Diceros bicornis minor: one gene and its partners. The protein of the gene in region 1 interacts with the protein of each later gene in a pairwise test. Links are inferred from orthologs where the notes say so. Each region holds a gene or a part of one and is shown in the gene's direction. Other genes may lie near its edges. The genes, in order: KLC3, BICDL2, TSNAX and CEP57L1.

Region 1 (7,122 bases):
TATGAATGGATAAAAGATGAGACATCTCCTACTGGAATAATATGCAGCTGTGAAAAAGAGTAAAGCTAATCTATATGTAACGCTCTGGAAAAACTGCCAAGAGCCTGAGTCCATTCGGGCTGCTGTAACAAAGACGGGGTTGCTTACGAACAACAGAAATGTATTACTCACAGTTCTGGAGGCTGGAAGCCCAAGATCAAGGTGCCAGCGTGGTCGGGTGAGGGCCCTCTTCCAGATCACAGACCTCTCGTATCCTCACGTGGCAGAAGGGACAAGGGAACTCTGTGGGGTCTCTTTTATAAGAGCACCAATCCCATTCATGAGGGCTCCAACTTCACGACCTAATCACCTCCCAGAGGCCCCATGTACTTATACTTATCATCACCTTTGGGGGTTAGGATTTCAACATATGAATCTGAGAGAGACACAAACATTCAGACCATAGCACAAAGATATATTGCTAAGTGGGAAAAAATAACTATAGACCTATTGCCACAAGAAGGCTGTGAAACATACCACCCCAAAATGCAGTAGCTTAAAAATGGGCGTGGGGTCGGCTGAGAGTTGGCTGATCTGGGCCGGGCTCAGCTGGGAAGCTCGGCTCCATACTGTTAAAAACAATTCAGCAGGCTCAAAATGGAGTCACTTACACTAAGCCCCACGTCACCAATCACCAAACCGAGACCGAACTGAATGACGGTTTCCGCTCTCCCAGAAATGGAATCTTTTGTGTGTGTGTGTGTATATGTGTGTGTGTGTGCGTGTGCGTGTGTGTGTGTGTGTGTGTGTGAGGAAGATCAGCCCTGAGCTAACATCCATGCCAATCCTCCTCTTTTTGCTGAAGAAGACTGGCCCTGGGCTAACATCTGTGCCCATCTTCCTCCACTTTATGTGGGACGCCGCCACAGCATGGCCTGACAAGCGGTGCGTCGGTGCACACCCGGATCCGAACCCGGGCCGCCAGCAGCAGAGCACGCACACTTAACCGCTCCGCCACCGGGCCGGCCCCGGAAGTGGAGTCTTAACCCGCCAATCAGGAATCGCCTGGTCAGCTCTAGATCGGTATCTGCTTGATAGGCCCCTGCCGTCCCCTGTCAGGGAAAGTGACCTTGTAGTCACCAAGCTGCCTTTTTGCCTAATACAACCTCCTCATTCCTGCTCCCTTCTGCCTATAAGTCGTTCATTTTGTCCTGCTCCTCAGAGCACCTTTCCATCTGCTGGATCAGAAGCTGCCCGATTCCAATCAATCTTTGCTCAAATAAACTCTTAAAATGTTTACTTTGCCTCAGTTTATCTTTTGATAGTATGTGGACATTGTGGGGTGTGGGCCAGAGGGGGAGCAGCCACGCAGCGGGGGCCTTTCTCATGCTGAGGCGGGGACACAAAAGGAGACAGTCAATGTCTTGAAGGTCTTTCTTGAACCTCTGAAGGTCTAAGCTCAGAACCGGCCTGGCCATCCCTTGTGTCCCTCTGCCATTGGTCAGAGCAACTCACAGGACCACACCCAAGCCAAGGCCATCATTCGTGTCCATGGGATACCTCTGGAAGGATGTCAGAAACTGGGAGTTTCCTTCTGGGAATGATGTGTGGGGACCAAGGAGAGACTAGTCTTTGTTCTCTGTGACATTTTTTCTGACAGTGCATTACTTTGTAAATTAAAAAGGGGGGGGGGCAGCTTTCTAAAAACTGGCCAAGAGGTAACAATCAAAAAGATCCTTATCCATCCACCCATTTTCCTGACATGGCAAACTGAGGCCTTCAATGACAGGATGGGAGTTTGGTTGAGTGCCTTCTGGGCTGTGTTCTGGGGCAAGGGATTCCTCCTCTCTGGGCCTCAGTTTCCTCATCTTTAGATGGGGCTAGTGATAGTGCCTACCACAGGGGGTGCTGTATGGATGCAAGGCTCTGCTATGCCTCAGCTGTGTGACCTTGGATAAGTCACTTGACCTCTCTGTGCCTCATCTTCTTTACCTGTGGAATGGGGATAATCATAGCACCTATCTCATCAGGTCGGTGTGAGGATTAACAGCGTTAATTTACAAGACTTAACATAGGGCCAGTTCTGGCTAAGAACTCAGAAAATCCAGCCCTCGTTGGTGCTGTGTGAAAGTGCTTGGCATAGGGCCGGCCTAAAGAAATGGTCACCCTCGTCAACACTTTCTCCTTTCAGCCTTTATCTCATTTAATCCTCGCCACTGTGCTGTGACGAGCGTGACAATCCTGGTTTAACAGATGAGGAAACAGGTGCTCAGAAAATCATTGCCTGCCCCAGGTCACGAGGAAAGGAAACGGCGAGCCCAGGATTTGAACTCAGGTCTCGCTGGCTCCAACTCCCAGCCACCGCCACCCCCACCCACACAGTGTTTCCACTCGCTGTTCTGCGCTAAGCCTTTGAAAGGGATTACTCATTAATCCCCCAACAGCCTCACAAAGTAGGGTACCCTCGTCAGTCTGGTTCTACAGACCAGGAACCTGAAGCCCAGAGAGGTTAGTTCCTGGCTAACGGGTCACACAGCCAGCAAACGATGGAGCAGGGATTTGCACCTGGGCCACCTGGCTCGACTCCCTGTGCTGCCTTGTAGTAAGTGTGTGGCAGATCCAGAACCAACGTCCAGTGTCCTGAGGCCAAAACAGTGGGGGAGGGGGAAAGGGAGGGACTCAGCTGGACCCTTCTACCCTGCTCCCTAGAAATAACCTGGAGAAGTTAAGAGCGTGCATTTGAGTTTTATTTTCCATCATTCAATCAACACCCGTTCTCCCGACTGCCTTCTCCGTGTTGGGCCTGGGCTGGGTAGTACTGGAGACACAGTGATGAGTGAGACTGTCCTGGGCCGTCGTCCCCTCCTCGGGCTTACAGTGCAGTCCAGCGGGGGAGGCAGAGCCGTCCTCAAGACACTGACGACCCGGAGCGGGCAGGGCTGGGATGTGGGAGCCCAGGAGGCGGCAGGAGCCCGGAAGAGGCGTCTGAGCCAGCCTGGGGGATCAGAGAGGGCTTCCTAGAGCAGGAAGCATCTGCAGTGGGGCTCGAAGAACCAGGGGGTAGAGAGCAGCTTGGCTGCCGCTCTGCGGGAAGATAAGGACCCGCGCTGGATCTGGCGCCTGGTCCACGGTCCCCCAGCGCCCTCTGCTGGAAGCATCCTGTAGTGCAGCGACCGGAGTGCTCCCGAAGTTGGGAAAAACTCGCGTTGAACCAAAGTCTATGATCTAGAATCCTGTGCGTCCAGCTTTGGCCAATTTACGTTTCTACGACTTGATTCATTCTGTCAGTCACGCAACAAATATTTATTGGGCACCTACTTTGCGCCAGGCTCTGTTCTAGTGCTAAAAATAACAGTGCTGACAAAACAGAACCCAGACCTCAAGAGCTGACTTTCTAGTCCTGGAGAACCAATAATATCATATAACCAGTAACTAATATTTGCTAAATGCTTCCTATCCATGTATTAACTCATTCAATCCTCTCCGCCTTTGACTATCCTCATTTTCCAGATTAGGAAAACGGAGGCACAGAGAGGTTAAGTTACTGGCCCAAGGCCTGCACAGCCAGCAAGTGCTGAAATCAGATTTGAACCCAAAGCCAATCTTTAGCCGTCAGTTACCTCGCCAACAATGTGATGTAACATAACATAATAATGTGCTATGTTACCTAAAATAATTTTAGGCCCTGAAAAGTTTTGCGAACAAAATCCAGCAGGGAAATGAGGTATGTTTGGGTGGGAGAGTGTAATTTAGAAGGGGCAGGCAAGGAAGGCCTCTCGGAGGAAGCGGCCTCTGAGAAGAGGCCAGATAGACGACGAGATCCATGGGAAGGGAGGTCCAAGCATGGGCACTGCCAAGGCAAAGGCCGGGCGGCAGGCCATCGGTCTGGGATCCAAAGTTTCCAAGATGCCGAGTTTCCCAGATTCTAGCTTCCGTTTCAGGCCTCCAGCGCGCTGGAATCACCCTGGGGTTCGACGTGCCCTGGAGGCTCCGGGCTCCGCGGGCGGGGTCCTGCTCTCCCCGCGGGGCCCGGGCGGTGGGCGTGGCCGGCCTCACCTGGGGGCGTGGCCTATGGCCGCCCCGCCCCGGAGGAGCAGCCGGGGCCGAGCCGCGGGGCGCAGAGGGGCGCGGCGGGGCGTGCGCGGGGCGCGGCGCGGGGCCGCGGGGCCCGGAGCCGTCGGCGGTCAGGTGGGCGCCGGGAGCGCGGGGCGGGGACCCCGGGGGCCGCGAGGATGGGGACGGGGGCGGGGGATGGGAGCTGGGCCTGGCGCACCCCTGGGCCCGCTGGCCCTGCGACGGGGACGGGCCTTGGGACCCCTGGAGGCCCCCTGCGCCGGCCTGGGGCTCCCTGGCTCTGGAGGCCCATCTGGGGCCGCGCCCCCTGCCCCGTGCGCAGGTAAACAGGAGCGAGGACGGGGCGGGGCCTCGCGGAGGGAGGGGGCCCTTGTGACGGCGCGCGGGGCTGGGCGGGAGTACATTGCGTGGTTTGGGGGGGCCTGGCCAGGATGGGGGCCTCGTGCCTGCGAGTGTGTGCGTGTGCATGAGTGAGGGTGCACGAAGCTCAGGGGTGTGTGTGATGGTGTCAGGTTGTGGATGTGCGTGTCAAAGGGAGATGGACCGTCGGTGTAACCCTGCCAGGGGGCAGAGAGACTGTGTGAATGATGTGGAATTGTTTCGCTGATGTGAAAACGTGGGTGCCTCTGATGGTGTGTCTGTAATACTGTTGGGGGGGGCCTGTGTGTATGGTAGGGCATTGAACTGTTTATAGGATTAGGTGTGAGGGTGTGTGGCCGTGGTTGTCTTTCTGCCTGTAAGATGGGGAGGGTGCCAGGGAGGTGGGGAGTGTGTGGAACAGCATGGATGTGTGCGGTGTGCCTGTGACTATCATTGTTAGCTGTGGGTTGTGTGCACAGGGCTGAGCACATGAAGGGGAGTGTGTGGCTTGGGGGGCTGTATGAGGGTGGGAACTGGTGTGTGTGGAGGAAGCAACCCGCGTGATGTGTGGCTGTGGTCGAGCCGTGAGTGTGGCTGTGACCGTTACCCACCACGGTTGCCAGTCTGGCTGTAGGTGGTGCGTGCAAAGCTGGGTCTGGAGCATTCAGCTCAGCTGTCTGAGATTGTGTGTGATGTCATGGGAGGTTGTATACGTCGGCAAAACTGCATGAATAATGGTTGCGGTTGTCAGAAGGGCTCAATGAACTTGTGTGATTGTGAGTTTGTTCATGGGGCCTGTGTGTGAGGTGTGAGACTAAGCATGGTGTGACATACATATATACACGTATAGAGAGATTGATGGCAACTGAGAGCCTGCCGTATATAAAATCCTCAGGATTACACACCTGCCCTTCCTGTGTGTGTGTGTGTGTGTGTGTGATGGTGAACGTGCGAGCAGGTGCAGAAACCGCTGGGCTGCTTCGGGTGGACATGGTGACCTGTGGGGGGCGGGTGTGGACACTGTGGCACTCCCTCTGCGCGTCTCCACAGCCGTCTGTGCCGTGGGCACCCACTTGTGACAGCGTAACTGAGTCTGAGTTCAGGGATCATTTGCACGTCCGTGTATGTGTGTGTGCACCACGTGCGGGCCTGCGAATCCCTGGCTGGCCTGGCAGGGGGCGGGGCGTGGAAGGAAGTGGGGAAGATGGTGACGGATCCGCAGTGAGTCCTGGTGGTGGTGGTGCTGAGAGGAGGTGCTGGGCAGATACTGGAGAGGTGGCTGCTTGCGGGACTGTAGGACTGTGGGACAGGGCGTGTGTCATGGGGACAGGTGCAAGGAGACAGGATGTGAGTGATCTGGGATTTGGTTATTTTTCGAAGGTGAAGGGGGAGAGACAGAGAGAGCTTCTTCATGTGTTGGCTTTTATTTCTGAAGAGAAAATAGACCTGTGTGTTGGGTTGTATTTCTAAGAGGGGAGTGTACATGTGTTATTTCTGAAAGGAAAATGTGTGTGTGTGTGTGTGTGTGTGTGATATTTCTGAGAGGAGAATGTGTATTACGTTATATTTCTAACAAGGGAGTGTGTGTGTGTGTGTGTGTGTTGAGGTGTATTTCTGAGAATGTGTATTGTGTCATATTTGAAAGGAAGGAGAGAGTGTTATATTTCTGAGAGTGTGTGTGTGTCTGTGTGTGTGAGGGCCCCAGAGGTATCACCAGCTGTCATGGACCTTGTCACCCACATACAGCCACATGAAGTCCCACATATGAGACCCCCACCCATTACGATCTGGGCCTCAGCCCCTCAGCTGTCACACGGCCGGAATGATGACACCCATGGGCCACGCCTGCCACATGTGTGTCCCGACACGCCTTGGGCTGGCTGGGCCTGTCTGCACTGGAGGGCGGAGCTCCTCTGGGTCTGTCAGCTCCACAGGCCCTGGGAGCCAACGCATGGGGCCCCCTCCCTGACCCCCCCAACCTGGAGGCCTCCTCTGCTTCCGGCACTCCAGCCCCTTGGCCCTCTCCTCGCGCCCCACCCCCAGTGGTCTGACTGGTTCCCAACAAAAACACCCTAAGAATGAGCTCACAGAGAGGCTGCCGCCTCCACCTGCCCCGCCCCACACGCCCAGCAGAGGAGGGCACCTCCAGTCCCAGGTCCCACAGCTGGAGTTCCGGGCCAGGGTGTCTGGGGTCCTCGGGGTGGGGAGGGCCGGCCAGGTGAGCTAAGGGCGAGCCAGCGGTGTGCCCTCCTTTGGTTAATTACACACAGTGGGGTTTTGGGGTTGCCCTCGGGACAGGCAAAGCTGGACGAGATTGTTCCCAGCTTCGGGCCGGCCGGGATGGGTGTGGGACAGGGTGCTGGCTGGAGTGGGCAGAGCACAGAGGCGGAGGGCTGGCCGGGAAAGATGGAGAGGGAGGGAGAGCTGGGAAGGGTCCTGCTGGCCGGAATGGCCTGGAGGCTGAGGGGCTGGTGCCTGGCCCTGGCAGTGATTCCTCCATCCCGCTTACCCCCCAGGAGCAGCAATGTCCGTGCAGGTGGCAGCCCCCGGAAGCACGGGGCTGGGCCCCGAGCGCCTGAGCCCTGAGGAGCTGGTGCGACAGACGCGACAAGTGGTGCAGGGGCTGGAGGCCCTGCGGGCAGAGCACCGCGGCCTGGCCGGGCACCTGGCTGAGGCCCTGGCAGGGCAGGGCCCGGCGGCTGGCTTGGA
Region 2 (7,652 bases), on another chromosome or scaffold:
TAAATCTCAGAAACATTCTGGAAAACCCTTGCCTGGATTCTTCAAGAAAAAGTCAATGTCCTGAAAGACGTATAAGACAAGGAACTACTTTAGATTAAAGGAGACTAAAGAGAAATGACAGCTAAATGCAATACATGATCATAGATTAGATCCCGGATCAAAAAAAAATCATGTAAAAAGGGCGTTACTGAGAACATTTTAACGTGGGCTGTATATTAGGTAAGATTACTGTATCTATTTTATCAGTGTTCAGTTTATCACATGTGATAATGGTACATGATTATGTAGGAGAATATCTGCATCCTCAGGAGATGCGAGCTGAAGTAGCCAGAGGTTTAGAGAAATATGTGCAGGTGTGTGTAGTGTAAGAGACATGGAAATTAATAAAAGAAACCTTAACTAAATTGGGTCGGGAAGGCCTGTAGGGGGAGCTCTCAGCCCTATCACACATCATCAATTACACCAAACAAGAAAAGAGGATGCTTGCACCTTGGACAGTAAGGAGAACTACTTACTACTGAAGGAAGACTTCTCTCCTCACCAGGTAACAGCCCAGCCAATCGGAAATACTGCAGCTTAGCCAATGAGAAGCATTGCCGCCCTGACCTGCTACATCTCCCCAGAGGAGTTTCATTCAGGACAGTCCCTCCCTACCCCCCTTTTCTCTATAAAGGCAGCTCCCCTCCTCTCTTTTCTGGATTTGCCTATGGTACGCCATAGATGCACATCCTGAATGGCAATTCTTTTGTCTACTCTCCAATAAACTCATTTTGAGATAAAATAACAGGCAAATTTGCTTTTTAAATTGACAGAGAAAGAGAAAGTGAAGGTGGAAAAATGTTCACAATTGTGAGCCTAAGTGGAGGGTGTTCTTTATATTATTCCTACAACTTTTCTTTAGGTTTGAAAAATTCTCAGACATTGATTCGATGGATACATACAACACGGATGAATCTCAAAAGCATTATGCTAAGTCAAATAAGCCAGGCCCAAAGGCCGCATACTGTACATGATTCCATTTAGAGAGCGTTCTGGGAAACACAAAATAATAGTGACAGAAAGCAGACCAGTGGTTGCAGGGGTTAGGGGTGGCGAGAGAGATTGGCTGCAAAGGATTACGGGGAACTTTGAGGGGTTATGAAAGTGTTCTATACCATGATCGTGGTGGTAGTTACACTTCTGTCAAAACTCATCAAATGAAACACTTAAAATTGGTGAATTTTATCATATATTAATTATTCCTTGTAGTGGGTTGAATTGTATCCCCCAAAAAATATGTCCAAGTCCTAACATCCAGTCCCTGAGAATGTGACATTATTTGGAAACAGGGTCTTTGCAGATGCAAGTTAGTTAAAGATCTCAGGATGAGATCATCCTGGTTTTAGGATGGGCCCTAAATCCTGGTGTCCTTAAATGAGAAAGGAGAGCGAGATATGGGACCCAGAGAAGACCCAGAGGGGAGGGCCGCGTGAAGATGGAGACAGAGACTGGAGAGATGCAGCTACAAGCCGAGGAGCACCAAGGATTGCCAGCAGACACCAGAAGCCAGGAGAGAAGCATGGAATACATTTCACCCTTAGAGCCTCTAGAAGGAACCAACCCTGCCCAAACCTTGATTTTGGACTTCTGGCCTGTAGAACTATGGGACAATAAATTTCTGTTGTTTAAGCCACCTAGTTTGTGGTCATTTGTTACAGCAGCCCTAGGGAATGAATATCTGCCTCAATTTAAAGCTGACTTTTGGGCTGGCCCCGTGGCTTAGCGGTTAAGTGCGCGCGCTCCGCTACTGGCAGCCCGAGTTCGGATCCTGGGCGCGCACCGACGCACCGCTTCTCTGGCCATGCTGAGGCCGCATCCCACATACAGCAACTAGAAGGATGTGCAACTACGACATACAACTATCTACTGGGGCTTTGGGGAAGGAAAAAAAAAAAAAGGAGGAGGATTGGCAATAGACGTTAGCTCAGAGCAGGTCTTCCTCAGCAAAAAGAGGAGGATTAGCACAGATGTTAGCTCCGGGCTGATCTCCCTCAGCGAAAAAAAAGCTGACTTTTTTTAAGTTGGGAAAAACGTGGAAACATCAGGTTAAATGGAAAAAGCAAGCTGCAGAACAATGCGTTCAGTGTGAAATATTTTATATAAAGGTTTTAAATGCTCCAAACAATAGTACTTATTGTTCATAAACTTTGCATATACTGTAAAAGCCTGGAGGCGCCTGGGTCTGGACCCACACCATTCCCACAGGGGTGTCTCTGTGGAGGGGGCAGGGAATGCCGTGGGGCATTCTGCTGCCCTCCAGATGCCCAGCATAGACTGCCCAAGGCATTGTGACATGTGTGAAGGCTTCCCCAGGGAGAAGTCCCCAGAGCCAATACTTGGAACACCAGGGGCCCACCAGGTGGTTGGGAAGGTTGGGGAGAATGTTCCAGGCTGAGTATGGGCCTGGAGGCTCCAGGAAGCTAACTTGTTTGGGGGCAGTTGGAGAGCAGGTGAGGGCTGGGTTATCATCCCTTCCCTTATCTGGACTAGTCCCAGCCTCCCTAGGGCTTTCCTGGGGCCACTCTGTCCCTCCTTGCCATCTTCCCCTGGGATCAGCAGGGAGGCTAGGGGAGAGGAGCTGGGGGCTGAGGGAGGGGCCAGGAGGCCAGGACTTAGGTCCAGCAGGGAAGCCAGAGGCCAGACTCCTGGGTCCAGAGAAGGCTGGGGGCCAGATTCAAATGTCCAAAAAGTGACTGGGGCTGGGAGCCGGGCAAGCTGGGAAGACAGGTCGGTCATGTAGCCACAGGCAAATCACTTCTCCTTTCTGAGCCCATTCCTGGCTGAGAATGGTATGACCTCACAGGTTGCTGGAGGATGGAATATATTGTAACATGCGTGGTGAGTCACCGCTTGTGGCCGTGCAGAGGATCGCCAGCACCAACTAAGGGCTGCTACTTCACCCTCATTTAATCCTCACAACCCTGTAAGCTAGGAACTGCTATCACCCCCACTTTACAGATGGGGAAACTGAGGGCTGCAGGTTAATCAGCTGAACGGCATAAGTGTGCACAGCTGGTAAGTGGCCACACTGGGATTTGGACCAAAGCCATGCAATGCCAGTGCCACGAGCCAAGATCCTTTGCTGTACTGTTTTATTGCTTCATTTCTCGTTTATAGGTCTACACCCCCTCCCAGCTCCTGGGTGGACTGTGAACCTCCTTGGAGTAGGGCTTTGACCACTTCATCTCCAGATGAGCCCAGCCCCCTGCCTGGCAGAAGGGGGCTCTGGGAAGATGTGTTGAGTGTGGGCGTGATATGAGTGGGATCCAGGGTGACCCTGGCATTTGGAGGGGGTCGGGTGGCAGCACCAAGGGGAGACTGGGGTATTTCCAGCCCTCCAAAGTCCACCAGGCTGTTCCCACAGGTGCTGCGGGAGAAAATGGTGGCCTTGGTAGGCAACACAGACCTCAGACCCCTTTGCAAAAGAATTAGCGCCCCTACTCTGTGCTGGCAGGGAACCTTGTCCCAGCCCCGGGACCCAGGAGTCCCAGCCCCTAAACCACCCCTCCAGGGAGTCCTTGCACCCATTTTCCCACAAGTCAGGAGTCCCAGCTCCCTTCTTCCTCCTATTTTCCTAGGACCCAGGCAACTGGGCCCCCAGGCACTCAGGAGTGCTGAGCCCCAGCCCCAGTGTGCAGGACTCCGCCAGTGCCAGCTGGCAAAAGCTGACCATGCATATCTCCGCCCAATGTCACCTTCAACGACGTCGTGTCAGTAGCTTGACAGCAGCCGTGGAGGGAGTATTTATACCTCGGGAACTGGTGAAGGCAGCAAATCTGGGCTTTCTTTCCCCCAGAGAGCCCATTGTTAAATGTTACCAGCACGCCACTGCTCCCAGCCCTCTGTTTGTCCCTGCTCACCAGGCCAGGGGACCCTGACAGGAGACTCGTGAGAAGCCACCAGGTCATGGCTGGGGCATCACCCACATACTCAGGCTGCACTGGGCTGGAGCCCGGAGCCAGCCCTGGACCCTCCTGATCTCCACATCAAGGGCCCCAGCCCTGACTGGAGCGTGGTGTCCAGCTCTGGGCTGCCTGGGAACCAAGAGCCCAAAATGGAGCCACATGGACTGAGATGTGGCTACGGGCAAGTCGCTTTATCTGTCCTCACCTGCAGCCCCATGTCAGCATAAGAGCACAGACCCTAAAGTCACACTTTTGCCGTTCACATTCAACTTGTGCCCATGTGACCCCAAGCAAGTTAGATCCTCCCTGAGCCTCAGTTTCTTCATCTGTAAATTGAGGATGATAGCAGTTCCTGCTTCATTAGGAGGTCATGAAAGTAAACAAGTTGTGCTATAAAACAGCTTACTTAGCAGAGTGCTTCATACAGGTTAGATTTGTTGTTATTATGATTGCTAATAATTTCCTGTCCCACAGGGCAGGTGTGAGGGGAAAGGAGCTCAGCGGTGAGGTCTGCATACAGTAGGTGCTCGATTAATGGACCCTGTCATTTGCGATGGCAGCAAGATGAGTCAGTGCCTCGGACCTGGGTGGAGGAGACTGTCCTTCGCCTCCGCCTGCCCATTCCGGCCACCAGGGGGCGCCCTGGCCCCGCCCGCGGCCCCGCCCCCTCACCTGTGCGGCCAGTGCACCTGGCACCGCCTCCGGAAGAGGGGATCGGGGACCGCGGGGACCTCGGAGGGAGCCCGGCGTCGGCGGGTGAGAGCTAGGGGGCGCCGAGGACACGGGCCCTTCGAGCTTGGGCGGGACAGGACCGGGTGGATTCAGCGCGGGCGCCTGGGGGGCGGGGGACGCCGGCAGGAAGGCAGGCGGTGGCGGGGCTCCGGACGTCTGTGGCTGGGGTCGAGAGGCTGGGGGCCCTGATGCCTGGGTCGAGATGCTAAAGGGCAGCTCCTTGAGGGGAGGGGGAAGAAGGAGAGACGCCCCCGGGTCTCCGGAGTCGGGTCGGGCCGCAGGGGCCACGTCTGGGAGACCCCGGGTCCGGCCAGAGAGTGGCTGTGCCGGGACTACGGCGACACCTGGGTCCTGAGGCTTGGACACCTGGCGAGGAAAGGAGTGGGAAGGACAGGTGTGTGTGTGTGTGTGTGTGTGTGTGTGTGTTTGTAGGGGGTGGGGAGACCTCAGGAGGGCTGGAGGGGGAAGCTACCAGGGAAGCCCTGTGCCTCCTCTCCCTCTGGAGCCCCTGACCTGCTGGGCCCTGGGCCGCCCTAGGCCAGTGCCACCAGGCTTCCATCCCCAGGGGCGGGCCGGGAAGTAAACAGAAACCTGCGGTGTCGCGCTCAGTCGCCAGCACAACCTGTTACCTCGCCCTGCCCTGGGCCCGATACCCAGGCCCTGGGAAACTGGGGGCTGAGACCAACACTCCAGAAGGGGTGGGGGGTGGGGCTGAGGGTCTGGTCACCTGAGTTCTGAGTGGTGAGGACCAAAACCCCTGGCTGCTGAGAAAACAGGAGAACAAGGGCCAGGGCATCTGAGTCCTAAGGAGCTGGGGCCCTGGGCTTCTGTAAGAGGAGGGGCTGGGTTTCTGGGGGCAAAGGGGTGAGGGCACCTAAGTTGCCAAGGCCCTGGAATCTTGGGAGGAGAAGGGACTGGACTCATCTCTGAGTCCTGAGTCCCTAAGAACCTGGGTTCTGGGAAGAGTTTCCCAGCCGGTGGGGGGCTAGGAGCCAGAACAGCTGGGTTCTGGGAAGAGCAGGGGGCAGGGACTGTCAGCGGGTGGCCTGTGGTCCAGGAGAACTGGGGCAAGGTTACCTGGGAGCAGAGAATGTCTGCCGGAGGCAGGGGGCAGGGCAGCTCATTTCCTGCTTCTCCTTGCCTCAGTTTACCCTGGGGACATTAACGGAGCTGGGCGGCCCTGGCTGCAGGATTGGAAGGGCAGTGGGCAGGTGGAGAACTGCAGGAGGGCCAGGTCTTGGGCAGTGGGGAGCGAGCCCTGCTGGGCTGCAGAGTAGAGTGTTCTGTGGCTACCTGTCCCCACAGACCTACCTATCCCCACAGACGCTGCAGACACCATGAGCTCCCCTGAAGGGCCGAGCTTCCCATCGGGGCTGCTCTCGGGGGGTGCCTCCCCCAGCGGCGACGAGGGCTTCTTCCCTTTTGTGCTGGAGCGACGGGACTCATTCCTGGGAGGGGGCCCAGGGCCTGAGGAGCCCGAGGACCTGGCCCTGCAGCTGCAGCAGAAGGAGAAAGACCTGCTATTGGCCGCGGAGCTCGGCAAAATGCTCCTAGAGCGCAACGAGGAGCTGCATCAGCAGCTGGAGACACTGAGCGCCCAGCACTCTGAGCGTGAGGAAGTGAGCTGCCGGCAGGGCACAGGGGTGGGCAGGTGGCAGGGGAGGAAAGCTGGGCACAGGGATGCCTCTGGAACAGTTCAGGGCTGGGCTCAGTCCCCCTGGCAGTGTTGTTCGGTGGTTGAGAACAGGGGCTCTGAGGACAAATGAAGACCTGGGTTCAGACCCCTGCCTGGCTGTGTGACCCTGGGTAAGCCTCTGGCCCTCTCTGAATCTTGGGTCCAGCTCCTCCGCAGTATAGCGCACCCCAGGCAACAGTTACCGGGTGCCCCCTCCCTGCCTGGCTCTGGGCTGAGCACTTTCCATGCACCATCTTGGGCAGTTCTCACCCCACCCTGTGAAGGAGGAACAGTTCTTCTCTCTGCCCAGGCTCTGTTGTCAAACACTCTCTCACCCTGGCAGTCACGTCTGGCCCCCTAAACACCCTGGACACCACTGACCCCTGTATCCATGTTGTCAGCGGCCCCAACCACTGCCCTGTACCCGACCTGGGTAGCCTACCACGCCACACTCTCCCCACAGGGCCACCTAATGGACATCTCCACATTGGTGGCCCTCTTGACTGTGATATCATCACCTCTGTCCCCATCCTGGCCTCTTACCTCAGGACCAGAGCCTGTGCATCTCCATGACCTCTCCTCCCACAGCCACGAGCCCTGTGGATTGTTCTTCTAGAATAGATTCTGAGTCCACCCACCTCTCATCGTCTCTGCAGCCCCCATCACCTCTGCCCCAGACACTGCAGCTGCCTCCTCAGTGGTCCCAGCTTCCGCTCTCGCCTCTTGGAGCCCATTGTCCATGAGGCAGCCAGAGGATCTTCAAGAGTTGCAAATCAGGGCTCGGCCGGTGGCTTAGCTGTTAAGTGCACGCACTTCGCTGCGGCAGCCTGGGGTTTGCAGGTTCAGGTCCCGGGTGCTCACCGATGCACCGCTTGTCAAGCCATGCTGCGGCAGCGTCCTATATAAAGTAGAGGAAAATGGGCACAGATGTTAGCTCAGAGCCAATCTTCCTCAGCAAAAACAGGAGGATTGGCATCGGATGTTAGCTCAGGGCTGATCTTCCTCACCAAAAAAAAAAAAAAAAAAACTTGCAAATCAGATCATTTCAATTCTTGGTCAGAATTTCCCAACGGCTACCCCTCACACTTTGAAACTGAAACTCCTCACAAAGGCTGAAAAGTCCTCGCGTGTGGACCTCCGTGACCTCATCTCAGTTGCACTCACTTCCTCCCCCGGCACATCTTTTCAGTTCCTTGAGTAACCCAAGTTTGTCCCTTCAGGGCCTTTGCATCTGCCGTTTCTTGCATGCAGCCCTCTTCCTTCTTGCCCTGCAGGAGTCAATTCAGACATCACTTCCTCCC
Region 3 (6,909 bases), on another chromosome or scaffold:
GATGGACATTTGGATGGTTTCCACCTTCTGATTATTGTGAAGAGTGCTGCTATGTACATTCACGCACATGGTATATACCTAGGCGTGGAATTACTGGGTTATATGGTAATTCTATGTTTAAGTTTTTGAGACTGTCAAATTGTCTTCTACAGTGGATGCACCATTTTACATTTCTGCCAGCAATGTATGAGAGTTCCAATTTCTCCATATGCCCACTGACACTTGTTATTTTTTGTTTGTTTGTTTGTTTTATTATAGCCATCCTAGTGATGTGAAGTGGTATCTCATTCTGGTTTTGCCCATCTCTCTTTACTCCCTCAAATACCAGGTTCCCTCTCCAGTAAAGAACTGGAACATCATTTTCTCCTACTAAGTCCTAGCGTTGCTTGAAAAATAAATCTGTGCATTGCTATGTGCATGCTTCAAAATACCACTTTGGACCCTACAGGTATCTTTTAAATATTATAGTTACCATTTTAAAAATGGTCACTCAAGATTCTGGCAATTCCCCATGATTTCTGCTCCCCCACCTCCAGAGTTTATGTAATAACTACATAATAAGGTAAACGTGGGAACAGAAAATCTCTTGAAGGCCTATGTTTCTTCTCTTATTTGATTACAGCCATGCATCGCTTAACAACAGGACATATTCTGAGAAATGCATCGTTAGGCAATTTCGTGGTTGTGCAAACATCATAGAGTGTACTTACACAAATCTAGATGGTATAGCCTACTATACTTCTAGGCTATACGGTACTAATCTTATGGGATCACCATCGTACACACAGTCCATCATTGACTGAAATGTCATTATTCAGCGCATGACTGTATATGATTTTTTTTCAATATCCAAAACCAGTTTTGATATGTGATTTTTTTTCCTGTAAAGGTAACAAAAGTGAGGATTTATAAACCAAATAAAAACAGGTATGCTTAAAAGCCTTAGAGCTTTATTCAGAGTCAAATGTGGGCAATTAGAATGCAACAATAGGAGGAGGAAAGAAAACCATTCCAGAGGTAAGGTCTTACCAAAGATCTTTACCTTCCTCTCCCTGACTTGGGGTAGAAGTTTTCCTTTAAAACCAAACAAAAATATGTTTTGTCAAACACCAAAACTACGTATATGCACCTGAAGCAATAAAACAAGCAGACAGAGTGGAGATGCCTTCTGCAGGTTGTCAGAGACTGAAAGGTATTTCCTGACAAAGGAGTAGCTATGGTTGGGACACCTGGGGTAACTGCATATGCAAATGAATGCTGGGAAAGTGTCACTGGGATTCACCTTCATTAAGTACTTTGAGAAGTCATTACAGGTTCCGAAACTTAGTGTTCTAATCCTCACATTTGTGGGAAGCAGTGAAAAGCAGTTCAAGTAACACAGCTATAGTTGAACAGTTGAACTGGAGTGGTGGCTGGAGAAAGAAAATATGGCTCATCCAGTTTTACAAAGTTGAGGTCTAGGTGTAACTGGACTGGAGAGTCCAATCGCCCAGGTTCTTGGTCAGTGGAAGAGAGTAATTCAGACACTGACACAATGGCAACAGCAAGCAAGCACAGATTTATTAGAGGAAAGGTCAGATACATTTCAAGTGAGGAGCAGACAGCGCCAGAGAATGCATCTGCCCTGCGTCGTGGGTTAGGTTTATTTTTATTTGGGCTGTTTTGATGGGAATTAGCACTATCTGGTTATCCACCAATAATGGTCTTTCCTCCACCCACACGTTGGGATGGGGAGTTCTTAACCTTCTAGAGGAGTCTCTGGAACTGTCATGGCAGACATCCCCGGAGGAAGGGGGCTAATGCATATGGAATTTGTATGTAAATTAAAGAAAAGTCAATGTCCTCTAGAGGTGTATAGCAGAAGGCTTTGTACGTGCTGTTTGTGTACCCGTTATTTTTATTGTCATGGTTGATGGCCTCAGATTTCCAGCGGTGGCGCCAGGCAGGTCTCGGTTCTCCTTTATCTGCATCTTGTAGGATGCCAGCAAGATGCTTCATTGATGCAGCAAGGTCTCCAGCCATGATCCTCCACTCATGTCTGGATGCCAGTAACACGCTCCATTGCATGCAGCAAGGTCTCCAACTATGACCCCCAGCTCATGTCTACCTAGCTACCTATCTCACAGGGAGCTGCTATTCCAGTAGAGACAGGAAAAATACACTTTTCCCAGACTATGGTAAAATAAGTACTGACTCTAAAAATATCCATAACTTACTGGCTTCCTTAGATCTAGAGGAAGTCACATTAAAATGACTACATTTATATTAAAGTTGTCTTGTTTTTTTTCATGATCAAGTCATCTCTAATCAAAGAGTTGGAGGGATACTGGTGGACAATGTCAGGAAGGTCAGACCTCACACAAACTCAGAATTATCTGCCCAACATCCACAAAGCAAGTGTTCAGCCCAGGTCTTCAGGAGCCTATTTTATCTACCATTAATTTGGCTAACCAATTCCTGTATTCAAAAAGCTGCAAAGGTATAATGGGTGCTGGCTACTTCTCGCTTCAGAGTTGGAAAAGACCCTAGAGATTACTTGGAGCAGGAAACCTTCTTATGACACACTCCTGTCAGGGGCTTGAAACTACTGCCATATTCTAGCCAACTTGTTTCATTTACCGTTCCTTTGTTTCTCAATTAATAAGGAAGAAAGACTGTGTGTACAACACATGCCTACAATACAGAGGTTATTTAGAGAAAGCGTAACAAAACATACTTGTGTTTTCCCTACTAGGCCTAGGCCACCCAATTTACCAAGCCTTACCCTAAATTTATATGTGGAGGATGCTAGATTGCCACTTAGTTACCCATCCTGATGATGGGAGCGTCATTCTTCAACAAACACTTACGGAAGTTACCAGGGCACTGCACTACGGCAGTATTGGGGGTGGCGTGGGCACAAAGCCTAATAAGTCTAATAAGATATGGCAGCTCCTGCCCATAATAAAAAGCTCACAATTTACCGGTGCACACCCGTTATTATTACTGATGTCTGTTTTTTTTGGAGAGCGACGTTGGGAAAAGAGTATCAAAGCTAATACTTGAGCGTTTACCATGTCAAAGTCACTCTTCTATGCGCCTTAGTATTAACTCACTTTGTCCTCAAATAATCCTACGAGGCGGGTACTATTCCATCCCTATTTTACAGATAAAAAAACTGAGGTACACAGGTTAACCGCTTCCTCCAAGTCAGGTAACCACTCAGTGGCAGACACGAATTTGAACGCAGGCAGTCTGGCTCTAGAAAGCCAGGAAAAAGGGGTAAAGCGAGAGAGGACGGAAGAAGAGGGAGGAGAAGGTGGGAGACAGGTAGGGACGGAGAGGGAGAACAGAGGGCTGTTTTACCTTCGTCAGAGAAAATACTAATAACGCCATCAACTTATTGATTTGCATATTTCCATCACTTTTAGCTTCTGGCGTCACTCCTAACTCTGTAAGGTTGGACTTTGGTCCTGAGAGGACCTCCCACAGGAGATCGCTGGCGCAGTCCTTTCTCACAGCCCGGTCTCCAGCACCACATGGCCCTCTCCTGCGAGGGAACTACAACCCCCACTATGCACCGCGCGGGGGGCTGGGTCCATGCTGCGGGAACGCGAGGGTGTTCCAAAGGTGCCGTGAGGGAAAAAAATCACGTACACTTTTCGCCGCTTTCCCACCTTCACACAGACTCACCTCCAGGAGGACGGATCGTCTTTTTCATTAACAGCGCATAGAACGAAGCGTGTGGAGTCGCTTCTGTCCTCAGGCACAGCCGAGGGCAGGCGCAACGACAGCGCCGGCCGCGAGGTCCCCCGGGCCACGTGCGGGGCGGAGCCAGTGGCGGCGAGGCTGAGTCGCAGGCCGGAAGTGTGCGAGAGAGAAGGGAGAGGCTTGAGTGGCTGCCGGCGCGCCTTCCGGTGGGTGCGTCGACGTCGGCCAGCAGCAAAGGGCGCCTCGGCAGGCTTTCGGCGCTCCGCTTTCACCAAGGCCCTCAGCCTCCGCTCGTCTCACAGCAGGCCGTGACGACATGAGCAACAAAGAAGGTGGCGTCCTCGGCAGCATTGGGCGTTATTTATTCAGAGGGAGAGGATCTCCAACCGTTTTGTGGGATTTTCCATTTCTCCTCACCCTTGAGGGATGCCCTCTCCCCTTGCAGGCTCGGTGGGTGGGAGCGGCCGGCCCTGGTGATTTTCCCGGCCAAATGGCCTTATTTGCACCTCTCATTTTATTAAATTCTCGAGCTGATTTTTAGCTTAATTCGGTAATTCCCCAGCTTGTGCACATCATTGCTGGAGGCCTGGATGAGGTGAGCTTAGAGTTTGGGGGGAAAAGAGCGGGGCTGCTTTCCTGCCATTCAGCTGAGAAAGCCTGTAAGGAGAGCACTCTGTGGGCCTCTGGTTTAAAGGAAGGAAGGGATTTGCCTGTGTTATATTTTGTCAACTTTTGGTAAGAGAAGAGCCCTATCCAACTTTTTTCTCCTTCTCTACGTAAGGATCAGGAGGGTTCAGGAAAAGGAAGCATGACAATTTCCCACATAACCAGAGAAGAGAAGGGAAGGATGTTAATTCCTCTTCGCCTGTGATGTTGGCCTTCAAATGTAAGTTCTCTGTCATGTAAGTTGGCGAAGGGAAGAGAACTAAAGAGATTATAACAGGGATTATTTAGTTATGTTGTCTGCAAGAAAACAGCCCTTGAGAATTTAAGATGTGCATATCTGAGCCTTTTACTTTTCCTGGAGGTTTTGCCGTGGTGCCAGGTCTGCCATGAAAGTTGAGATTACAAAAGGCCTGGGTTTTTTTTTCCCATTAAAGTTTCACAGGTAAACATTAATGTCAGACATGCCACATAACTAAAAATTGTTGTGTACCTGATATATGCATATATATAAATTAGATATATGTATATCAGGTACATATATGTATATATATGTCAAGTGTTTATATACATATATGATCAATTAAATTTTTTTTTTTGGTGGGAAAGATTGGCCCTGAGCTAACACCTGTTGCCAGCCTTCCTCTTTTTGCTTGAGGAAGAGTGGCCTTGAGCTAACATCTGTGCCCATCTTCTCTATTCTGTATGTGATTCACTGCCACAGCATGGCTTGATGAGTGGTGTAGGTCCGTGCAGGGGATCTGAACCCGTGAACCTGGGCCACTGAAGTGGAGTGCACCAAACTTGACCACTATGCTACTGGGCCTGGCCTCTAATTAATTTTTTAACGTGTGTTGGTTTTTTTTCCTCAACTAGACTTTTGAAGATAGGAGCTATAATTTTATTTTGACTGTAGCACTCTGCACAGAGTGGGAACTCGTGCAGAATCCTATGTACAGGATCCTGTGGGAATCCTATGTATATATGTATTCACAATCCCCCTTTTCTCAGTATTTTAACTTGGTCAAGTTGTTCCTCATTTCAAAACAAAACGTAAGGCAAAGTTCTCCTTTCTCTTGTCCTCTATCTACCGTACTGTACCTTATAGTTTCTTGGTTCAGGACGCCGAGAGGGGCTTGGCTATTGATTCTAACTTGCGGTCATCTGAAGGCTTGATTGGGGCTGGAGGATCCACAGCTATTGATGAGTTAGGCCTTCTGCCAAAAACCACCTCTGGTTCCTTTCCACGTGGCCCACTCTGTAGTGCTGTTTGAGTCCACTCATGTTTCAGCATCCGGCTTCCCCTGGACAGAGAGCAAGGAGGAAACCACAGTCCCCTATGTCCTGATCTCAGACATCATACACCATCACTTTTGCTGCATTCTATTTGTTAGAAGTGAAGCAGTTTAAAAACTCTGCCTCATATTTAAGGGGAAGGGAATTACGTTCCACCTTTTGAAGGGAAGAGTCTCAAATAACTTATGGATGTGTCTTAAAACCACCACCGCACTTAAAGTGATCTTCAGAGGTGTAAGACAACTAGTTGTGATTGAGTAGAGAGCATATTGATACAGTTATATACTCGGTGGACTACAGAGCTGCTTGTTTCCAAGTGTGTTTTGGTGTTTTATGTTTCTGCCTGCCTTTTCACACATAGTTCTTTAAGCTTGGAATTGCTTCTAACTTGGTGCCCCCATTGTCCATCAGTGAACTATGGTTTTCTTCAAAACCTAGATCAGGTAGCTTCTATTTGAAGCCTTTCGGATTTTTCTCTCAAGCAGGTTGGTGACAAACATGGCATTCATTCATTATCCCTCCATCCATTCAGTCATGAAGTGTTTACTGAGCATCTGCTGTGTTCTAGCATGTGTTAGTAGTGAACAAAAAAAATGTGGTTCCTGTTTTACTGAACCTTTTACATATATTTATTATAGTGTGATCACATTTTATTTGTTTACATCTCTGTCTCATACTAGACTAAACTCCTTGAGGATAGGATCTGTCTTATTTAACTTTGTATTCATAATGACAGCTGTGTAGTGGTCATTAATGTATTCATAATAAATAACGAATACATTTGATTGTCTTGAAATATTAGGCAAAGTCCTAGCCTAATTATTATCTCAATAATAAAAGACAAGATGTATTTAGGTCCTTGTTAACTACTAATTTAGTAGTTTATTCAAGTTTTGGATTTTTTGTAATTCATGCAAAATACATCTGTTGCGTGCTCCCTATATGACAGGCAACTTGCTAGGTCTTTGAAGTGACAATCCTTCTGAAATAAAGTGGTTATTTAAAAGTTAAGTGGTTTATGGGGCCAGCCCGGTGGCGCAAGCGGTTAAGTGCGTGCGCTCTGCTGCGGCGGCCCGGGGTTCCCCGGTTCTGATCCCGGGCACGCACCAACACACTGCTTGGCAAGCTGTGCTGCGGCAGTATTAAGTGGTTTATGGGTATTTCAGTGACTAGCGCTTAAAAATTCAGAAAGTTGATATTATTAAAAGTTATAAACTTTTTTTTTTTTTTTGAGGACGATCAGCCCTGAGCTAACATCCA
Region 4 (7,898 bases), on another chromosome or scaffold:
ACAACCATAATTCTCATTTTGCTGCTTTTGAGACAGCAGAAAAAAAAAGAAGAAAAGGCTGTCTTTTAAAAAAAAAAGAAAAGGGCAAGAGCCTTTAAGAGTTAAATTACACAACTCCCTTTTTATTTTTAAAGTCAGTGGATTCCTTGTTGCTGTTGCTGAAAAAGATAAATTGATACCACATGTTGCTTCCAGACAAAACCCTCTCTGTGTTCCAGGGGAAGCACATGCAGCTGGTGTCTGGGTTGGTGGACAGTCTCCACACGGTAAACACAGTTTGGAAGGGGCTGAAGCGGACACAGGGTAGCAACAGTTAAGAAATTACCAGTTACTCCTGACTGGCACAGCATCTTTGAAATTCTTTTAAGAGTTTGAAATCTTTTCCTGGAAGGAGCCGCCCTCACACCTTTTGGCTTAAAGTATATGGTGCTCGGAAAACAGTAAGTGAACATTTGTGATGTCACTGCTTCCGTATGTGGGATCTGACAGTTGAGAGCCTCTTTTGTGCTTGGCACTCCAATGAGTACTCTGCATGCGCAATTTCATTTACTCTTTCCAAATATCCTAGAGTTAGGCAGAGAGGGTGTTTTTATCCCCATTTTATGAAAGGGGCAACCAAGGTTAAGTCATTTGCCCAAGGTCGCAGGACAAATGCCAGGGCCAGGATTCCGACTCGGATCTGGCTGACATCAAAGCCTGCGGTCTTTCTTCGGCATCACGCTGCCTCCCTCCGTTGGCCTCCTTAAATGCATGTGTGAATTATCCACTTTGTAAAGTATTGGTGGAATACTTTTTCGTTTCAGGCAGCTTCTCTCCAACACCTAATCTGATCTGTTTTGGGTCCATCTGTCTTCACAACCAGTTGGCATATATGTAATCACTATGTGCACTTTAGCATTAGCAATAAATGCATCTTGCAGTAGACAGCTGCCTTCAGTATAGCAAGAAAAATAATTACCAGATTCTGATGTGTACAGTCATCTTGATGCTAATTTCTTCGAGGAGGGCCAAGCGAAGGGATCCCTAGCCTGTGGCCCACATGAACCACAGTAAGCATAGCGTGACTGTGGAAGGAGAGTTGCCTCATGCTGCCTCCTACACACTGCTGCACATACCTTGAAATATTAGGCCACTAATTGCAACTGCAATCACAAAGGACACCATTTAGCCAGTTGTTACTAATTAACTACACCTAATTTCTGTCCCAGAGCAGAGCTTGCTTCTGTGTAAATGGTTTTGTAAAAGAGAAGATTGAGGGGGCTGGCCTGGTGGCATAGTGGTTAAGTTTGCACACTCTGCTTCAGTGGCCCGGGGTTCGCAGGTTCGGATCCCCAGTGCGGACCTACGCACAGCTTATCAAGCCGTACTGTGGCAGGCGTCCCACATATAAAGTAGAGGAAGATGGGCACGGATGTTAGCCCAGAGCCAGTCATTGTCAGCAACAAGGAGAGGATTGGCAACAGATGTTAGCTCAGGACTAATCTTTCTCACCAAAAAAAGTAAGTAAGTAAAGAGAAAATGACATAAAAATGAGATGAAGAGTATTCTTATCTCTGCTCTCTCTTCAGACACGTTGTGATGGAGTTGCTTTAAGGGTTCCCTAAATCTTTGGATCCATGTTGGAGAAAAACTGGTATATTTATCCCTGAAGCTCAAGTTTCTTTCTAAAGATGGTGCTTTCTTGTAATTCATCAGTATCCTGATTTCTTGGTAGTGGATTTGACTAACCGGAACTATTCAACATGGTCTGGGGTTGAGGTTATAGTTGCTTCTTGGTGCCTTTAGTTAGTAAACTTGATGACAGAATGGCCTGAGCTCTAGCAATAGGAGTCTTGGTTGGTAATATTTACCTTTTCGCCTTAGCCTTAAGGAGAGCACATCCCTGGTACTTCAGCCAATTAACATTGGCCTGCCTCACAAGGTGTTTCAAAATGTGTATTTAGATGTGATCAGAAAAACCACTCTAGTCCTATCAAACCATTCCTCCTTTACCTTCAGCTCCTGATCCCCAAACTAATGTAAAATCTTAGAAATTTAGACTATTTGGTAAGATGATATATGAATTAGTGGAAAACCATAGAATATTTTTAATCTGGTAGTTTTATAGTTTAAAATACACATAGTACATTAGAGACTAATTGACAGAGCCTAATGGAGAGGTCTTTAGAAAACTTAAACTATAAATCATAAGAGGATTTTACAGTTGGCTTGCCTATTTTTATAAATCCCACTTCTTTATTCCTGGGATTGAGGTGAGGGAGGAGCAGTTTGAAATCTTACAGAAATCATATCATCATTAGTTTTTGTCATCAGGGAAGGTGTGGAGAAACATTGCAGTTCTGACATTTTATCCAGCATTTATTTATTTACCTTTTCCTGCTTCACCAAAATTTAGATAGAGAAGCTAGTGATTAGAATCACGACCTATGAGGGAAACCAGAATACAGTTCTGGCATCTGACCTTGTCAGAGTGAGGGGCCATATTTGTTAGCTTCTGTCAATGCCCTGCCTTCAGATAATGGATTTTGTAAATGGAAGGCTGGCCAGCCTGTATGGATAGAAGGCTGCTAAGAAAGGGGACTATGAGGATGGTGGTGGCACAGTTTCTGTTTGTGTTGTCTCAGTAATGTAACTGGAAAAACCTGTCTGAGTGTTGTGTAGGTAATACACCTCAGGGAATGTATTCTGCCACTAATAACCTCTAAAACAAGAATAGAGCAAATATTGGACACCGAAGCTAATCACCCGTGTAATAAGTTGGGTTTTGTTTCAGAATGGTAACCACTGCCCTCTCCTTAGAGTGAATGCTGTGGTGGGCACCTTAGCAAAGAAAGCATCTGCTCAAGTGAGCCTTCACTTATAGGTTTGCTCTTCTGAAAGACAGGCTTTCTTTTAAATTTTTTTTTTTTTTTTTAATTTTAGAAAAGACCCACCAAATTATTACCCCTAACTATTTTGTAAACAAAATTGCAGTAATAAGATTGTGCTTTTGTATCTTTCTTTCATAAATGTTTGTTTCTTTAAATGTTAGCACAGATAGGTTAAACAATGACTTCTACATAATTTGGTGACAGACCTTTGGTTCTTATAGACACTAGCTGTGTGACCTTGTGTGAGTTATTTAATATCATCTCTCAGCCTGAGTCTTAAGATATATGATGAGGGCACTGATGCCAACTTTGCAGGTTTGTTATGAGGATTAGAGACAATGAATCTAAAGCCTATGGCCCAGTACCTGCTGGTGCTGTAATCAGGCAGGCTCTCCGTTCTTCACCCTGGAAGTTAGGGCCTGGGCTCTGACCCCTGCAGATCTGTTCCTAGGTATGGGGATGCCAGCCCCTCTACCATGTACCCTTACAGAAGCTTAATTTTTATCTCCAAATTTTAACCAATTGTAGCTTTTCATTTTATAAAATTACACGTATACATTGTCGGGGTTTAGAGTTGTAGTAATAGATGACCATTAGAAAATTCATACAGGGCATTTTGGAGATCTCTAAATTATTTCTTTTTTTTTTTTCTCAGTTTGGAATTGGTTAAATTAAAAATACATTTTTAAGAAATATTGTTCCCTAAATGCTTTTTAAAAGGAGGATAACTGGATACTTATGATTGGTCATTGTTAATTCTGAATGTTGGTCTGAACTCTTTCCAAAATCTGGAGCAGAGGGGCCTGGCCAGGGTGGGGGTGACTGGACCAGTGTCCACGTGGCCCCGCATAGCCTCAGCCTATTTTTCCACCAAGAAGATGAAGCTTAAGTTTTTGTTTAATATATCTAGTCGTGTGAATACTCAATAGTAGAACCACCTTGCACTTGCCTGCTTTGTGAATCCCACCAAGTGAGTTTTAAGAGCATGCTTCAAATCCATTTTACAGAGACAGTGTTTTACTTTTTAAAGAAATGTAATTTCTGAACCATTAGTAGAGATGCCATTATTCTTTTAAGAACCATACGAGTGAAAGGGAAGCAGGATATATAGTCTCCTGGGCAACATTTGTCTCATCAGATACAGGCCTGTTGCCTGTTTGCTTCTCACAAATGCATCTTTATGGCCACCGTAGAAATGCCAACTTTTGACCCACGGTTGTTGACGCTCACTGCCCAGCCTGAACTGTAGGCCTTCCTTGCACAGAAACATAGACGTGGGAGGTACTGTGAGTATTTTGGGTTATTTACTTATGGTAACATCCCGCTGACTTGCTGTGTTTTAAAAACATTCTGGTAGAACACATGTATTTGTATCTTCTACATAAATACAGTTGGCGATTGCCAATTTTTTTAAAACTATGGGAACTTTTAGGATTGTTCGTATTTAATGCACAGCATCAGGCAACATCTTATGTCTTTAACTTGCAAATAAAAACTCATCTGGCCTGCAGGTGCTGTTCCAGATGTGGAGAATCCATCGACTCCTCTCTCTTATTCCACGTGAGGCATTTTACAGATTAAAAGGAGCTCGCACAGGTGGTGAGCTCTCTCCACCAGGGACTCGGTGCTTTCTAATAGCGTAAGAACACTCTGATTTCGTACGTGACTGGCTCCTAAAGTATCTTATCATATATCATCCTTACGTCATCCCTGTCAGGGAGGGGTGATTTGGATGCTATTAGGGCTGTAATGAAGATGGAGAACTGGAGTTATTGCAGATGGGTTAAGTGATTTGCTCAAGGTCACATGGTTGGTCACAGACAGAGATGGGACTGGATCTGGGTCATGCTGTCAACTGGGCTTATCTACCAAGCCAGGAGGAGGATTCTTGCAAGATGGGTGTAGTCATTAGTGTTTTGAAGCTATTTTTCCCTATTTCTCTTTTCTTTTTTTGTGAGGAAAATCAGTCCTGAGCTAATATCTGCCAATCCTCCTCTTTTTTAGCTGAGAAAGACTGGCCCTGGGCTAACATCCATGCCCATCTTCCTCTACTTTATATGGGACGCCGCCACAGCATGGCTTGACAAGCGGTGCATCGGTGCACGCCCGGGATCCGAACCGGCGAACCCTGGACCGCCGCAGCGGAGCGTGCGCGCTTAACTGCTTGTGCCACCAGGCCGGCCCTCTCTTTTCTTTTTTAATAAACCTTTTAATTTAGAAGAGTTTCAGATTTACAGAAAAGTTGCAAAACTAGAACAGAGAGTTCTCATATACCCAACATTGTTTTCCCATATTGTTAACATCTGTTAGCTTGGTACATTTGTCACAATGAATGAACCAATATTGACACATTATTATTAACTAAAGTCCCTAGTTTATTCAGACTTCCTTCATTTTTACCTAATGTCCTTTTTTTGTTCCAGCCTCCCACCCAGGATACCACATTATGTTTGGTCATCATGCTTCTGTAGGCTCCTCTTGGCTCTGATAGTCTTGAGGAGTACTGGACAGGCATTGTATAAATGTCCCTTAATTGGGATTTGTCTGGTTTTCTCCTGGTTAGACTGGAGTGATGGATTTTGGAAGGAAGGTGCCATTTTCATCACATTATTTGAATGCATGTCATCACCATGACTTATCCTGTTGATGTTCCCCTTGGTCACCTGGCTGAAAGAGTGTTGGTCGGTTTTCTTCAGTGTACAGTAACTCTTTTCCCGCCTTTTTGTACTGTTCTCTTTGGAAGGAAGTTAACTATGCTCAGACCACATTGCCTTGAGGGGAGAGTATCTATAAATTATTTGGAATTTTTCTGAATGGGAGATTTGCCTGCTTCTTCTGTCATTGCTGCCATTTTTTCCTTAAGCCTGCCAGACAGGTATGACATTGTGGCAGGAGGAGACGGAATCATAGAAAGGATAGGTTAAAAATGCACTCCAGTTCTGAGCTCATAGAAGTTAAGAAAAGGTAGATGCTGCTTCTATGCTGGTGGAAGAGGGGACGATGAGAGAATAAATAGCCCCTGGGTGATTCATTATCCTAGAGCCAGGGAGGTGTGTGGCGAAGTGCGGGGAGAGGGTGGTGTGGTAATAAATTATAAGTGTGAACTTCAGAATAGGAAATACAATTACAGAAAGGACAGCAAAACTTAGGAATTTGGGGAAAACAATGTCAGTGAGCTTATACATTCCCAGCATCTCCTGGATATGAAACCATCACCCACCTCCTAAATATAAAACTTGCCGTTTACAATGTTGTCATTTAACTCCAAGCCAAGGCGGGTCCTGCAGCTGTTTGTCTTTTTTTTTTTTTTTTAAGCCTCTGAAATTGAGGAGTTTTTAAAAAATGAGTCCGATTAACTGTTTCTTCTCGGTACTCAGTTTGCAACATTCAGGCTCATCTTCTGCATTTTCCCTTCTCTCTGCAGAACTCTATCCGGCACAACCTGTCGCTGCATAGCCGGTTCATGCGGGTCCAGAATGAGGGGACTGGCAAGAGCTCTTGGTGGATCATCAACCCTGATGGGGGGAAGAGCGGGAAGGCACCCCGGCGGCGGGCCGTCTCCATGGACAACAGCAACAAGTACACCAAGAGCCGTGGCCGTGCAGCCAAGAAGAAGGCAGCCCTGCAGACAGCCCCCGAGCCAGCAGACGACAGTCCCTCCCAGCTCTCCAAGTGGCCTGGCAGCCCCACATCACGCAGCAGCGATGAGCTGGATGCATGGACGGACTTCCGCTCACGCACCAATTCCAATGCCAGCACAGTCAGCGGCCGCCTGTCACCCATCCTGGCAAGCACAGAGTTGGATGATGTCCAGGATGATGATGCGCCGCTTTCCCCCATGCTCTACAGCAGCTCAGCCAGCCTCTCACCCTCTGTAAGCAAGCCATGCACCGTGGAGCTGCCACGGCTGACCGACATGGCGGGCACCATGAATCTGAATGATGGGCTGGCTGACAACCTCATGGATGACCTGTTGGATAACATCACGCTCCCATCGTCCCAGCCATCGCCCCCCGGAGGGCTCATGCAGCGGAGCTCTAGCTTCCCATACACCACCAAGGGCTCCGGCCTGGGCTCTCCCACCAGCTCCTTTAACAGCACGGTGTTCGGACCCTCGTCTCTGAATTCTCTGCGTCAGTCTCCCATGCAGACCATCCAAGAGAACAAGCCAGCTACCTTCTCTTCCATGTCACACTATGGCAACCAGACACTCCAGGACCTGCTCACTTCGGACTCACTCAGCCACAGTGATGTCATGATGACCCAGTCAGACCCCTTGATGTCTCAGGCCAGCACCGCTGTGTCTGCCCAGAACTCCCGCCGGAACGTGATGCTTCGCAATGACCCAATGATGTCCTTTGCCGCCCAGCCTAACCAAGGGAGTTTGGTCAATCAGAACTTGCTCCACCACCAGCACCAAACCCAGGGCACTCTCGGTGGCAGCCGTGCCTTGTCGAATTCCGTCAGCAACATGGGCTTGAGCGACTCCAGCAGCCTTGGGTCAGCCAAACACCAGCAGCAGTCTGTCAGCCAGTCTATGCAAACCCTCTCAGACTCTCTCTCAGGCTCCTCCTTGTACTCAACTAGTGCAAACCTTCCGGTCATGGGCCATGAGAAGTTCCCTAGCGACTTGGACCTGGACATGTTCAATGGGAGCTTGGAATGTGACATGGAGTCCATTATCCGTAGTGAACTCATGGATGCTGATGGGTTGGATTTTAACTTTGATTCCCTCATCTCCACACAGAACGTTGTTGGTTTGAACGTGGGGAGCTTCACTGGTGCTAAGCAGGCCTCATCTCAGAGCTGGGTGCCAGGCTGAAGGATCACTGAGGAGAGGGGAAGTGGGCAAAGCAGGTCAGTGCCCAGTGCTATGGCATGATAACCCAGTGGGGATGGTTGGGGGAGGCTGTCTTTTATTTGCTTTGAACTTGACTCCACATTGAGAATTTGAGAACCGTGGAGCGGTGGTGCACAGTAACATGGCTGCCGCCAACCAGTTCATCTCCAAGTTTTACCTGCAAAACA

What was found.
Region 2: the proteins of KLC3 (region 1) and BICDL2 interact in binary tests that used the Homo sapiens proteins (3 or more experiments, as listed by UniProt). The two-hybrid records come from large-scale screens. The link is inferred for Diceros bicornis minor from reciprocal best matches to the Homo sapiens genes KLC3 and BICDL2.
Region 3: the proteins of KLC3 (region 1) and TSNAX interact in binary tests that used the Homo sapiens proteins (3 or more experiments, as listed by UniProt). The two-hybrid records come from large-scale screens. The link is inferred for Diceros bicornis minor from reciprocal best matches to the Homo sapiens genes KLC3 and TSNAX.
Region 4: the proteins of KLC3 (region 1) and CEP57L1 interact in binary tests that used the Homo sapiens proteins (3 or more experiments, as listed by UniProt). The two-hybrid records come from large-scale screens. The link is inferred for Diceros bicornis minor from reciprocal best matches to the Homo sapiens genes KLC3 and CEP57L1.

What each region holds. Positions count from the first base shown.
Region 1 is NC_080773.1:19,617,987-19,625,108, forward strand, and holds the start of KLC3 (kinesin light chain 3), read left to right. Parts: upstream 1-4,114; 5' UTR 4,115-4,167; intron 4,168-6,929; 5' UTR 6,930-6,937; coding exon 6,938-7,122. UniProt on the Homo sapiens protein: Kinesin is a microtubule-associated force-producing protein that may play a role in organelle transport. Plays a role during spermiogenesis in the development of the sperm tail midpiece and in the normal function of spermatozoa.
Region 2 is NC_080765.1:45,491,419-45,499,070, forward strand, and holds the start of BICDL2 (BICD family-like cargo adapter 2), read left to right. Parts: upstream 1-4,651; 5' UTR 4,652-4,700; intron 4,701-4,946; exon of another isoform or gene 4,947-5,070; intron 5,071-5,999; 5' UTR 6,000-6,013; coding exon 6,014-6,295; intron 6,296-7,652.
Region 3 is NC_080745.1:24,675,043-24,681,951, reverse strand, and holds the start of TSNAX (translin-associated protein X), read left to right. Parts: upstream 1-3,900; 5' UTR 3,901-4,006; coding exon 4,007-4,022; intron 4,023-4,471; coding exon 4,472-4,576; intron 4,577-6,909.
Region 4 is NC_080762.1:26,352,916-26,360,813, reverse strand, and holds the start of CEP57L1 (centrosomal protein CEP57L1), read left to right. Parts: upstream 1-4,893; 5' UTR 4,894-4,904; coding exon 4,905-5,018; intron 5,019-6,294; coding exon of another isoform or gene 6,295-7,692; exon of another isoform or gene 7,693-7,727; intron 7,728-7,898. Other genes in the region: FOXO3 (forkhead box protein O3), read left to right, coding at 6,295-7,692. UniProt on the Homo sapiens protein: Centrosomal protein which may be required for microtubule attachment to centrosomes.